Linked DNA regions of Schizosaccharomyces pombe. The protein of the gene in region 2 interacts with the protein of the main gene of each other region in a biochemical or structural test. Each region holds a gene or a part of one and is shown on either strand. Other genes may lie near its edges.

Region 1 (4,463 bases), on a different chromosome or scaffold from region 2:
CACTCAAGCCTATGATGCCGTCAAGGCCGCTGAGAAGCGCAATGAAACCATTGCCGAGGCTGCTAGAGCTAAGGAAAATGAGGCCAAGGACTTGTATAGCAAGGCCGAAAGCATCACTCAAGACCTTAACGCTAAACGCTCTCATCCTCCTCAACCCGCCAACCTCGACTATAGCTCTGCCATTCAACGGGCACAGGAGCGTTTGACTCTCGAGGAAAGCAAATTGACTGACTTGCGCACTGCCGAGCCATCCCAGTATGTCAACGACGTAGAGGTTGCACGCAGAGCCCTACGCGATGCTCAAGCTGAACAAAGCAAGGTGGAGAGCGAGTACAACAGTGTTAAGGGTAGCAAATTGTATACCACCGAACCCGTTCATCCACACGCCGTTACCACTAATGAACCTACTGATGTTAGTACTAAGAGCAAGTCCGCCGCCTATCACTATCCTGCCACCACTGAGACTGTTTCAAGCAAAGCAGCCCGCTCTGCCACCACTCCTGCTTATGTTGGCGGTGCCACTAAAACTCCTAGTACGACAAAGGCTGTTGAATCTACTCCCAGCACCTTGCCTACTTCAGCTTCCACAAATGCTGCTGCTACTACTACCACTAAAAAGCCCAAGGCTGCCAAATCTACTGCTGTACGTGATGATGTTTCTTCTGCTTCTTCGGATAGCGACAAGGGTACCACCGGTTTGGGCAAATCTGAAAGCAAAAGTTCCCGCAAGGAACGTAGAAGCAGCACCAGCAGCGGTCATGGCTTGATGAACAATGTTCGTCATGCCTTGGGTATGTCCAACAAGTAAAGGGAATACTTGCAATATCAAAATTTTTGGACGTAACCTTCATTATCTCGTGAATCCGTTATGAAAAAAGGTTTTTATTGTATGGTTCTTATTTGAAAAAAAGGGACGACAACTTTTTGAGGGGAAAGTTGTCATCCTTTAAAGGTTGGTTCTTTATGATGGAAAGTACTGCGAATTGTTCGTAATTTATTAATGAGATTCTTTGTTTATACGAGTAAAGAAATTGAATGCGATGGATATAGAAAATGTAATGTAGCTTTAGTTTTAAGTAGTTTGATTGTCTGTGGTGGGTTGTATATGCTTGCTTTGGCCTTGCTAGATAATCAAAACAAGAAACAATATAAAATGTACAATAGAACTAACAGGTAAAAATAAATGTACAAAAAATAAATGATTTGAATTTTCTCGTACGAACATGTAAACAATTGAAAAAGACAAACAATCGAGACTTAGAAATACAATTGAAAATAAATAGACAGAGCAAGACAAACAGAGGTTATTCTTAATAAAATAGAGCAAATCTAGCACAATCCCCAATCCACCACGTCAAACAAGCTGTATGCTCACTTCAAATAGAAAGCTTTGAAAATCTTATGCGGTGAATCTTGTTCACTCGGTCGATGTGACCGGTGAGACAGAAGACTTTTTGTTCATGGCCTCACGCATGGATTCTTCAAGTTGATCTAAACGAGTTGACATCGTTTCCACTGTTAACATAAAAAGTTATGATTAGTAAAGCAAAATCTTTCATTATAAATTAGAGAATCGTACATTTCTCAGAGAATTGCTTTTGTAGGGTCTCAAAGTCGCCAGACTATAAAAATCTGTTAGAATGATTAACTAAGCACAATTCTTCTTCTTACAATATCCTCCAATAACTTATCAGTCTAAAAGTAAACAAGGTTAGATCATTAAAAAAAAAGAAAGACTAATCTTAAACGCACCAAAGTCGTGATCGCAGATGTGGATTGAGGATTTTTAGAATTCCCTCTAACAGACGCAGACATTGTAACCGAAAACCTTTTTTTTAATATGTATAGATGCTTCCTTCAGGTAATAAGAACTCACTTGTGAATACAATAGTTGGTATTTGGAAGAGAAATGGAAGAAGTAGGTAAAATAGTTGATGGAACTCAGCTAGGAACCTCTGCGTAATGTTATTTACCTACACATAATTATTTTTATTATTTTACCAAGTGTATTTATTGTCTTATCGAGTACATGTGGAAAAGTCGTAGAAGGAGAATTCAGGCCCTTGGAGTGGCCTTTTTTTTATAACTTAATGATGATTTTATTTTTAATTAAACGAATTAAAAAAATTACTCATAATATCCTTGTATGGATGACTTTGAGCCGCATGTTTGAACCCTATATATATGGCGTTCCACGATGGCTCTGAAAGGTAAGTTTGTTCATCTTTAACCGTTTTCTACTAAGCGTTTTTTATTCCTAGTCACTAAAAAGTAGATGTCTCAAAGATGGTACAACACTATGGCTTTTTATAATCATTTACTGATACAGTCAATATCTTTATCTTAGACTGTTGCAATTTGGGCCTAGTACCAACTGGTCTTACCCATCCACTCCACCAAACGCATGGGTGAGTGAGTTTTTAAAAAAGCCATTATAGAATTGTTGAAAGTATATCTAAATGAATGAAAAATGACTCAAAATCATAACATCCCGACTGCTATTCAGATTCAAAACCCTATAAATAATAATGTCTCTGTAACTATTAGTGATCAGTTACCAAAACCGAGTGCGAATAATCCCAACTTGTTAAGCGTGGATACTCGCCCTACCCACAGAAAAGGCCATCATCACAAACATTCGCTTTCGCATCAATATTTCTTACCACCCAAGAATCGACAGCCGTTAGAGATACCTGCCAGTTATCCCATTCCTACTTTTAAAGAAACATTCGCAATCCTTACTTTTCCTCAAAAACTAAAATTGACAAGCTCAATCCTATTCTTTTTGGTCGCCGTAGGGGTATTACTCTCGGGGGATGCTACTATCCTACTCACTTTATCTTGCTCTTTAATCGTAGAAGGTGTTTTAATCATTATCAACGTTTGGCGTGAAACATTGGATTCGTTCCTCGTCTGGCGACACACGTGTTTACGTTACCCATTTGGAATGCAACAAATGGAATTACTTGTTGATTTTTCCTTCTCAATCCTCTTAATCTTCCTCGGCATGAACCTCCTAAAAGAGCCTGCCGAACATGCTATAGAAGATTGGGGTAATCTCCATCATGCTGGCGATCATGAAGAAGAGACTGTACACATTCATTTAACCATTTCATTGTTTGCTTCGGCTATAATATCGGGATTTGCATTATTGTTGGATCACCCTAGTGCTCACATACGAGAACTCAATTCTCGCTTTTTCCATGGACTCACATTAGTACCTTCACTCATCCTCGTGTTGCTGTTAAGTCTTGGTTATCAAGTTGGTTCATTTCTCAGCCATTTGCTTTCCTTAACTATTGCTGTTACTGCCCTGGTGAATGGGTTCTCCATTGCCAAATCGCTTGCCTTAATGCTCTTGTTGACATACTCTAATAAAGAAAAGGTCTTTGAATGCGTCTCCCTTATAAAAGAGGATACACGAATTGACCAACTTAATTATGCTGCCATTTGGCAACCTCATTATAATACTTGTATTGCTAATATTGGCTTAACCGTTTCAGGAGGTGAACGAGAGCAGGCAGCAGTTCGTGAAGATATTATAAGGATTATACAAAAAACAGTAGGAAGCATATTTGGTGCTGGTGTTCAACCCAAATGGGAAATATCAGTAGATATCCAGAGAGCCTAATCGTTTTTTCCTATCTTACAACCAACCGTGTTTGTAACTCACTCGTTATATTTTTATTATCATTTAATGCATGCATATTTTATCAACATATGACATTATCCACCTTTGCGGAACTTTCGCTGTCTCGAACAGTTTGGATTCATAATCTAATAAATGCCATCCATATTTACTATAGAATTACCAACACCTTTTTCATTCTTTCCTTTAATTTATACCGCTTATTACAAATTATAAGGAGAATACAAACTCAAGATTTTAATATGAAATGAATAATTTTATTATTATAAATAAGGCATGTGTGGTCGTTGCATACTAAAAGGATCAAGTCTAACTAATAATAGAATGCGTATATAGAAGGTATTTTCATATGTAAAAAAAAAAAAGAAAAACGTAAGCATATATATGACCCTCAATTAACATACAGATTCCAAAGGACAAGTAATGCAATTTACTACTTTAAACGTAGCTCTTACCAAGCTTGGAAAGAAAGCGCAAAAAACAAGTTATCGTTTATGAGTTATCATTCCACTGGGATAGAACATTCCAGTCGTCAGCAAGTCCAATGTGCTTAGACGAAAGTTCGTCAGAAGCACCAAAGTCATCGTTAGAGCCGAAGCTAACAATGTCTTCCTCATCTTCTTCATCCATATCACACCAACTGCGGCCAAATTTAAGATGATCCTTGTTTCCTTTAATACTGTTAGGAAATACGATAGCTGGTGCACTGCAAGAATAGGGAGAACGTTTCGTATTAACGGGTACTGCTGTTGCAATGGATTTTCCAATATGCATATTATTGAGACTTTCACCAAGTCCAGAATCATAGGAACGT
Region 2 (5,217 bases):
TTCGTGAAATCGATTGCCCCCATTTTTTCCTTTTGGTTTAACTTCGGCTAATTTTGAATCCGAAGATGTTTCTTGAGTATCTTGTTTACGTTTTTTTGATGCTTGTTCACTTGGCAACTTTTGTTCTCGTAAAAAAACCTTGTTATCGTCGACGGCAGTTTTCATAGAGCTAGTAAGATTTTCATATTTTTCTAAAACTGCAACAAAAAAGCCTCCAGTATTTTGGAAATGTGGATAAATACGTAAGCAATTTTGAATATTCAGCTCAGCAAGTTCTTTCTTTGGTAGTGGCCATAAAGTAGGAGGCATTTTTTCGTAAAGCTCCTTTGGCAAGGTATCAAATGAAGGATAAATATTTAGATCGGAATCACAAACTACCCAGTTATCAACACCTTGACTACGTTTTAACTGAGGAAGCTCCGAACTAACATCCACCAACCTTACAGAACCTCGGGTAGCATTCAAGACAGCAGAAACCACTGCCTCATTTTCAATTGGATTTAATGAACATGTTGAATACACCAATCTTCCTCCTTTTTCCAACAGTTGTAAACCTCTCATTAAAATCTTAATTTGTGTCGCGTGAAGCCCTAAAGCTGTTTTCAAAGACCACTCATTCCATAAAGCAATGTTTTTTCTAAAGGTTCCATCTCCAGAGCATGGGACATCAGCAAGGATACGATCAAACTTAAGGAACTTTTTACCGTCGGGAGAAGATAGATGGAAATTCGGCAAAAAGGAAGCATCGTGATTAACAATTAACACATTTGGAGAATTTAATCGCTTAATCTGATGTACAAGCATATGCGCTCTTTTATTGTCACTATCATTTGCAATAACAATTCCTGAAGGCAACAAAGTAGTAATATCTTCTTTCTTAGTTGGTTTGTGAAGTGCCTCGAGTAATTGAGCTGTCTTAGAACCAGGCGCCGCACACATGTCCAAAACTTTGTGGTGACTCTCTACATTAAGAAGTAATGGTGGAACCATACTTACAGATTCTTGCCTGTTTATGTCACCCGCTTCTGTTTCAAGTACAAGAAATTCTTGAAGTGCCTTGAGATGAGGGCTTTTTCGAATAACTTCCTTAGAAATGTCCAGCATAAAAGCCATTCCATCAGGATACCATGGAAGTGAAACTGGCAAGGGGATTTTCGCATCCTCAGTTCTTGCATTCTCAATGAGTGGATAGTAGTGTTCTATAAAATAATCACGAACTTGAGTAGCATGACTTTTAAAATGATTAGAAACAAAAAATAATAATGTTTTTACTTACGGAATCGATGCAGTTATTCGAAATGTTGTCGGGAGTTGTTCAGTAAGCTTTTGCTTTAAAAGGATAAAGTCATCCTCCGTCACTAATTTCTGAAGCCTGTAGTACTTTTCAAAGTTTTCATTTCTATCTAGTAAGTAAACATAATCTGAAGTCATGACTCACTTTCTCTCAATTAAATCCCAGTTTACAAACTCCCCTTTTTTAGACCTCTATTTAATACACATTAGTAAGATAAAAAATAAATTAATTTCGTACTAACATTTTTTTTACTAGAATAATGCTTACGACCCATCTTAAACTCCTCCTTTTCCTTATCAACGTATCGAGTTGGTACAAGACAAGCAATTTTCAATGCTGGATAGTGCGTATTTTGTTAGCAGATTACAAAATTACTTTGACCTATTTTCAAGGAAAAAACTCTCAAAAATATTTTATTGAATTAACAAGAAGTTATATTGTCTGCTTTGCGACATTTTCTACAGATCTTGGATAACTCAAGAATTTACGAATATTGCACATTGTTATTGTGGATTTGCTTCGCACCTAAGTGAGATTATGAGGGGTTGTACATGAATTACTAAAAATGAAACTGTACGAGTGCTTACTTTTAAACATCAATCTTATATTATCTTAAAATCTCGAATGTATAAAGACTGTGTTTGTGTTGGTTGACTTAATTTAGCGTGTTAGGTCTTTTTGACAACTACAACCATTTCATGTTCGATTTAGAATATCTCAAATTTAGTTAAACAGAAGTTTGACTATAAGACGCTTTTAATAACTTTCAACGTTTGATTTTAAATAGTTAAGACCACTTATTAACTTTGTCAAATTAACTTAATGCACTTTCACATCCAACTCAGGATTTAAATTTCAAAACAGGATTACTCTTTATTTTGTTTTCTTTATTCTTTAGTTAAGTTTTGTTAATCATTCAATTTTTTAATAGTCAACCACAGCTTTTGGGTGTTCCTGACGACAAAAATGAATGTTAATTCTTCTGCGTTCGAGAGAACCAATAGGTTCCCTTCTTTTCCTGTTTTAAAAGACGACCAAAAGACAAGTTCTGATTCAATTGCTGCAGCTAAAAAAAAAGATTTGTTATCGCTCATTTCGAGTAAATCTTTGCTATCATCTGAAACACTAGGATGGTTTTCTGTAATTTGTGCATTCTCCATTACTGGTTCTGGTCTTGAAGTCAATACCATGTCGATTCCATTTTACCTTATTTTTGGCATCTTTGCTTTTGTCAGCTTTACTACTCAATATTTGGGCATCTATTCATTTTCGTTCCAACCTTTTCAGTTATTAAATGTAATAATCGCTTCTTTATCGATGGTATTCATAACTTTAGGTGCCTTTGTACTTGGAACTCTAGACACGACTTGTTTGTTATTGCTAGCTTTCAAATTATTTTTTATTCGTAACGATCCTACACCATTTAATGCCAGATCTGCTAATTTGAAGAACTATATAGCATTTCCAATATGTCTTTTTGTCATTAATCATATCCTAATACTGTTGGGTTATTTCCAATGTTCTTATTCCGTTTTTTATGCCAGCGTTTTTTATATACTTCTTGGTGTCTTCATTCGAGTCTTTTACCTTGTGAACAAAGAGAAGTTTGAAAAGAAGGAATTGGCATTCCTTTTTTCTTCTATCGTTGTGGCTTGTCTCATTCAATTTAATGTCCTTCCGCTTGGAACAATCAATCTATCAGTCACTCGTTTTACCATTCTTTGTTTTATGCAAATTTTTTGCATCAATTGGGATGGAATTGCCAGAATTCAATTTTACTTGGGAAAATTCGATATTTCTTTAATTATGGCCCTAATTTCTGCCATTATTAACAAGACAGCTTCTCAAAATTCTATCAAGATCATATCATGCCTCTATCAAGTAGGATTTTGCTTCTTTAAAATTGGTTCTTCTATAACAGCAAACTTGAAGCTTCCTGACAACAGCCGTATTTACCGACTTTACAATGATTTCATAGTGAATGGAGTGCTTGCCGATAAAGAGTCAAGAAGCATATTTTATTTCTTCCTTTTAAATGTTTCTTATATGTTTGTGCAAGTTATTTATGGTCTTTGGACAAATTCTTTGGGGCTTATTTCAGACGCAATTCACATGGCTTTTGACTGTATTGCTATTCTTGTCGGTTTAGTTGCTACGACGCTTGCCAAGATGCCTCTAAATTATGCTTACCCCTTTGGATTTGCAAAAATTGAGGCTCTTTCGGGTTTCACTAATGGTATTTTTTTAGTTTTGATTTCATTTTCTATCGTCGGCGAGGCATTATATAGGTTATTTCATCCGCCCCAAATGAATACCGACCAATTGTTGTTGGTTAGTTTTTTGGGCCTTGTTGTGAATTTGGTAGGTATCCTAGCGTTCAATCATGGGCATAATCATGATCATGGGTCTCATCACCATCATTCCCATAGTAATCATAGTATGTGTCTGCCTAACACTACAAATGATATAAATATTTTTGAAGAGTTTGAAGAAGAAAAAGATAATGTTGAAGCCCAGAAAATGGGCTATACGAATGACGATCACGTATCCCAACATGAACATACCCATGAGAATAGTCAGGAACATCACCATGAGCATAACCACAATCATGATCACATCCATAAATACAATGAAAAATGCGACCATGAAAGCATAAGTCTCCAGAATTTAGACAATGATCATCACTGTCATCATCACCATGAAAATCATAATATGCATGGCATATTTCTGCATATTATCGCAGATACTATGGGCTCTGTTGGAGTTATTGTCTCTACTATATTAATACAGTGGTTTTCATGGACCGGTTTTGATCCTTTGGCATCTCTAATAATTGCTGCATTAATATTTGTTTCTGTACTTCCATTAATTAAAGATTCGGCGAAGAATTTGCTCTCTGTGACTGATCCAGAATCGGAATATTTATTGAAGCAGTGTTTGTCGAACATCAGTTTAAGTAACTCCGTTATCAGTTTATCCAACCCTAAGTTCTGGACAAACGAAAGAGGTGAAGTGTATGGAATACTCCATATTCAGGTGAGCATAGACGGTGATTTAAACGTGGTTCGTAATGAAGTATTTAGGAAGCTCTCAATCGCTGTACCAAATTTAAAACACATTTGTATACAATCTGAACGGCCAAACAATTGCTGGTGTGGAAAATAGTTCTTACATCAGTTGATATCCATACTTATTTACGTGTAATTTTAATTAGATGAATTAATATTTTCTTTATTAGCAAAATTCCCATTATTTACCCAATCTTTATAATAGTGTTTTGAAGGACAGACTTTCTAAAAAAACCCCGAGGTCACTTTTTTGACACTCAATCACACTTGCTTCAAAACAGTCCATTTGCAAAGTAGCAGATGTCATGTTTGCAACCTCTTGAAATGCAACTCCAAAACGATTGTGTCCATGACCGTCGTCATCATCGTCATCTTCATTGCTAGTAAAAGCGGAAGTAGAAGTTCCAACTATTAAGTACCTATTTTTTTCCTCTACAAAAGCTGCTAAAACAAGAGGAAGATGTCTAAGCTTTCCAAATTCTCGTTCTTGCTCCTTCAAGTGTTAGTCAAACGTTAAAATCAATAGACACTTACATTAATAGCTTCAGCAATCCAAAGACTCATCTTTGTTAACGCAAGGGGATGCATAAATATTTTCAGATCTGGTCCTTCGTTGATAAGTCCAAAACGAAAAGATCTCAACGTTTTAATGGCTCTTTTTTCAAGTAAGGTGATTCCAGTACGAACAATGGCTCTTTGTAAGTGCATTGCTAACTTCAATGCTCTTTCTAATGAATCGACATCGTCCAAGGCGTCGTATGCATCATAAAAATTGTGCAACCATTCTTGATTTTGAGCATTTTCAAACTTCTCCAAATATTCTTCCTCCGTCATATCCGGGCTTCGAGCGACAGT

What was found.
Region 1: the proteins of cis4 (region 2) and zrg17 form a complex in vitro, tested with the Schizosaccharomyces pombe proteins (one study listed by BioGRID).

The regions. Positions count from the first base shown.
Region 1 is NC_003423.3:1,944,330-1,948,792, reverse strand, and holds zrg17 (Golgi zinc importer, CDF family, Zrg17), read left to right. Parts: upstream 1-2,386; 5' UTR 2,387-2,470; coding exon 2,471-3,631; 3' UTR 3,632-3,856; downstream 3,857-4,463. Other genes in the region: SPOM_SPBC16E9.15 (uncharacterized protein), read right to left, coding at 1,418-1,515, 1,580-1,622, 1,672-1,695, 1,753-1,815; serine/threonine protein kinase Ksp1, read right to left, coding at 4,142-4,463. UniProt on the Schizosaccharomyces pombe protein: Probable transporter involved in the regulation of zinc homeostasis.
Region 2 is NC_003424.3:4,726,102-4,731,318, reverse strand, and holds cis4 (Golgi zinc importer, CDF family, Cis4), read left to right. Parts: upstream 1-1,977; 5' UTR 1,978-2,260; coding exon 2,261-4,459; 3' UTR 4,460-4,537; downstream 4,538-5,217. Other genes in the region: trm401 (tRNA (cytosine-5-)-methyltransferase), read right to left, coding at 1-1,231, 1,277-1,399, 1,439-1,485, 1,536-1,568; DNA replication pre-initiation complex subunit Cdc45, read right to left, coding at 4,559-4,855, 4,897-5,217. UniProt on the Schizosaccharomyces pombe protein: Probable zinc transporter involved in Golgi membrane trafficking through the regulation of zinc homeostasis.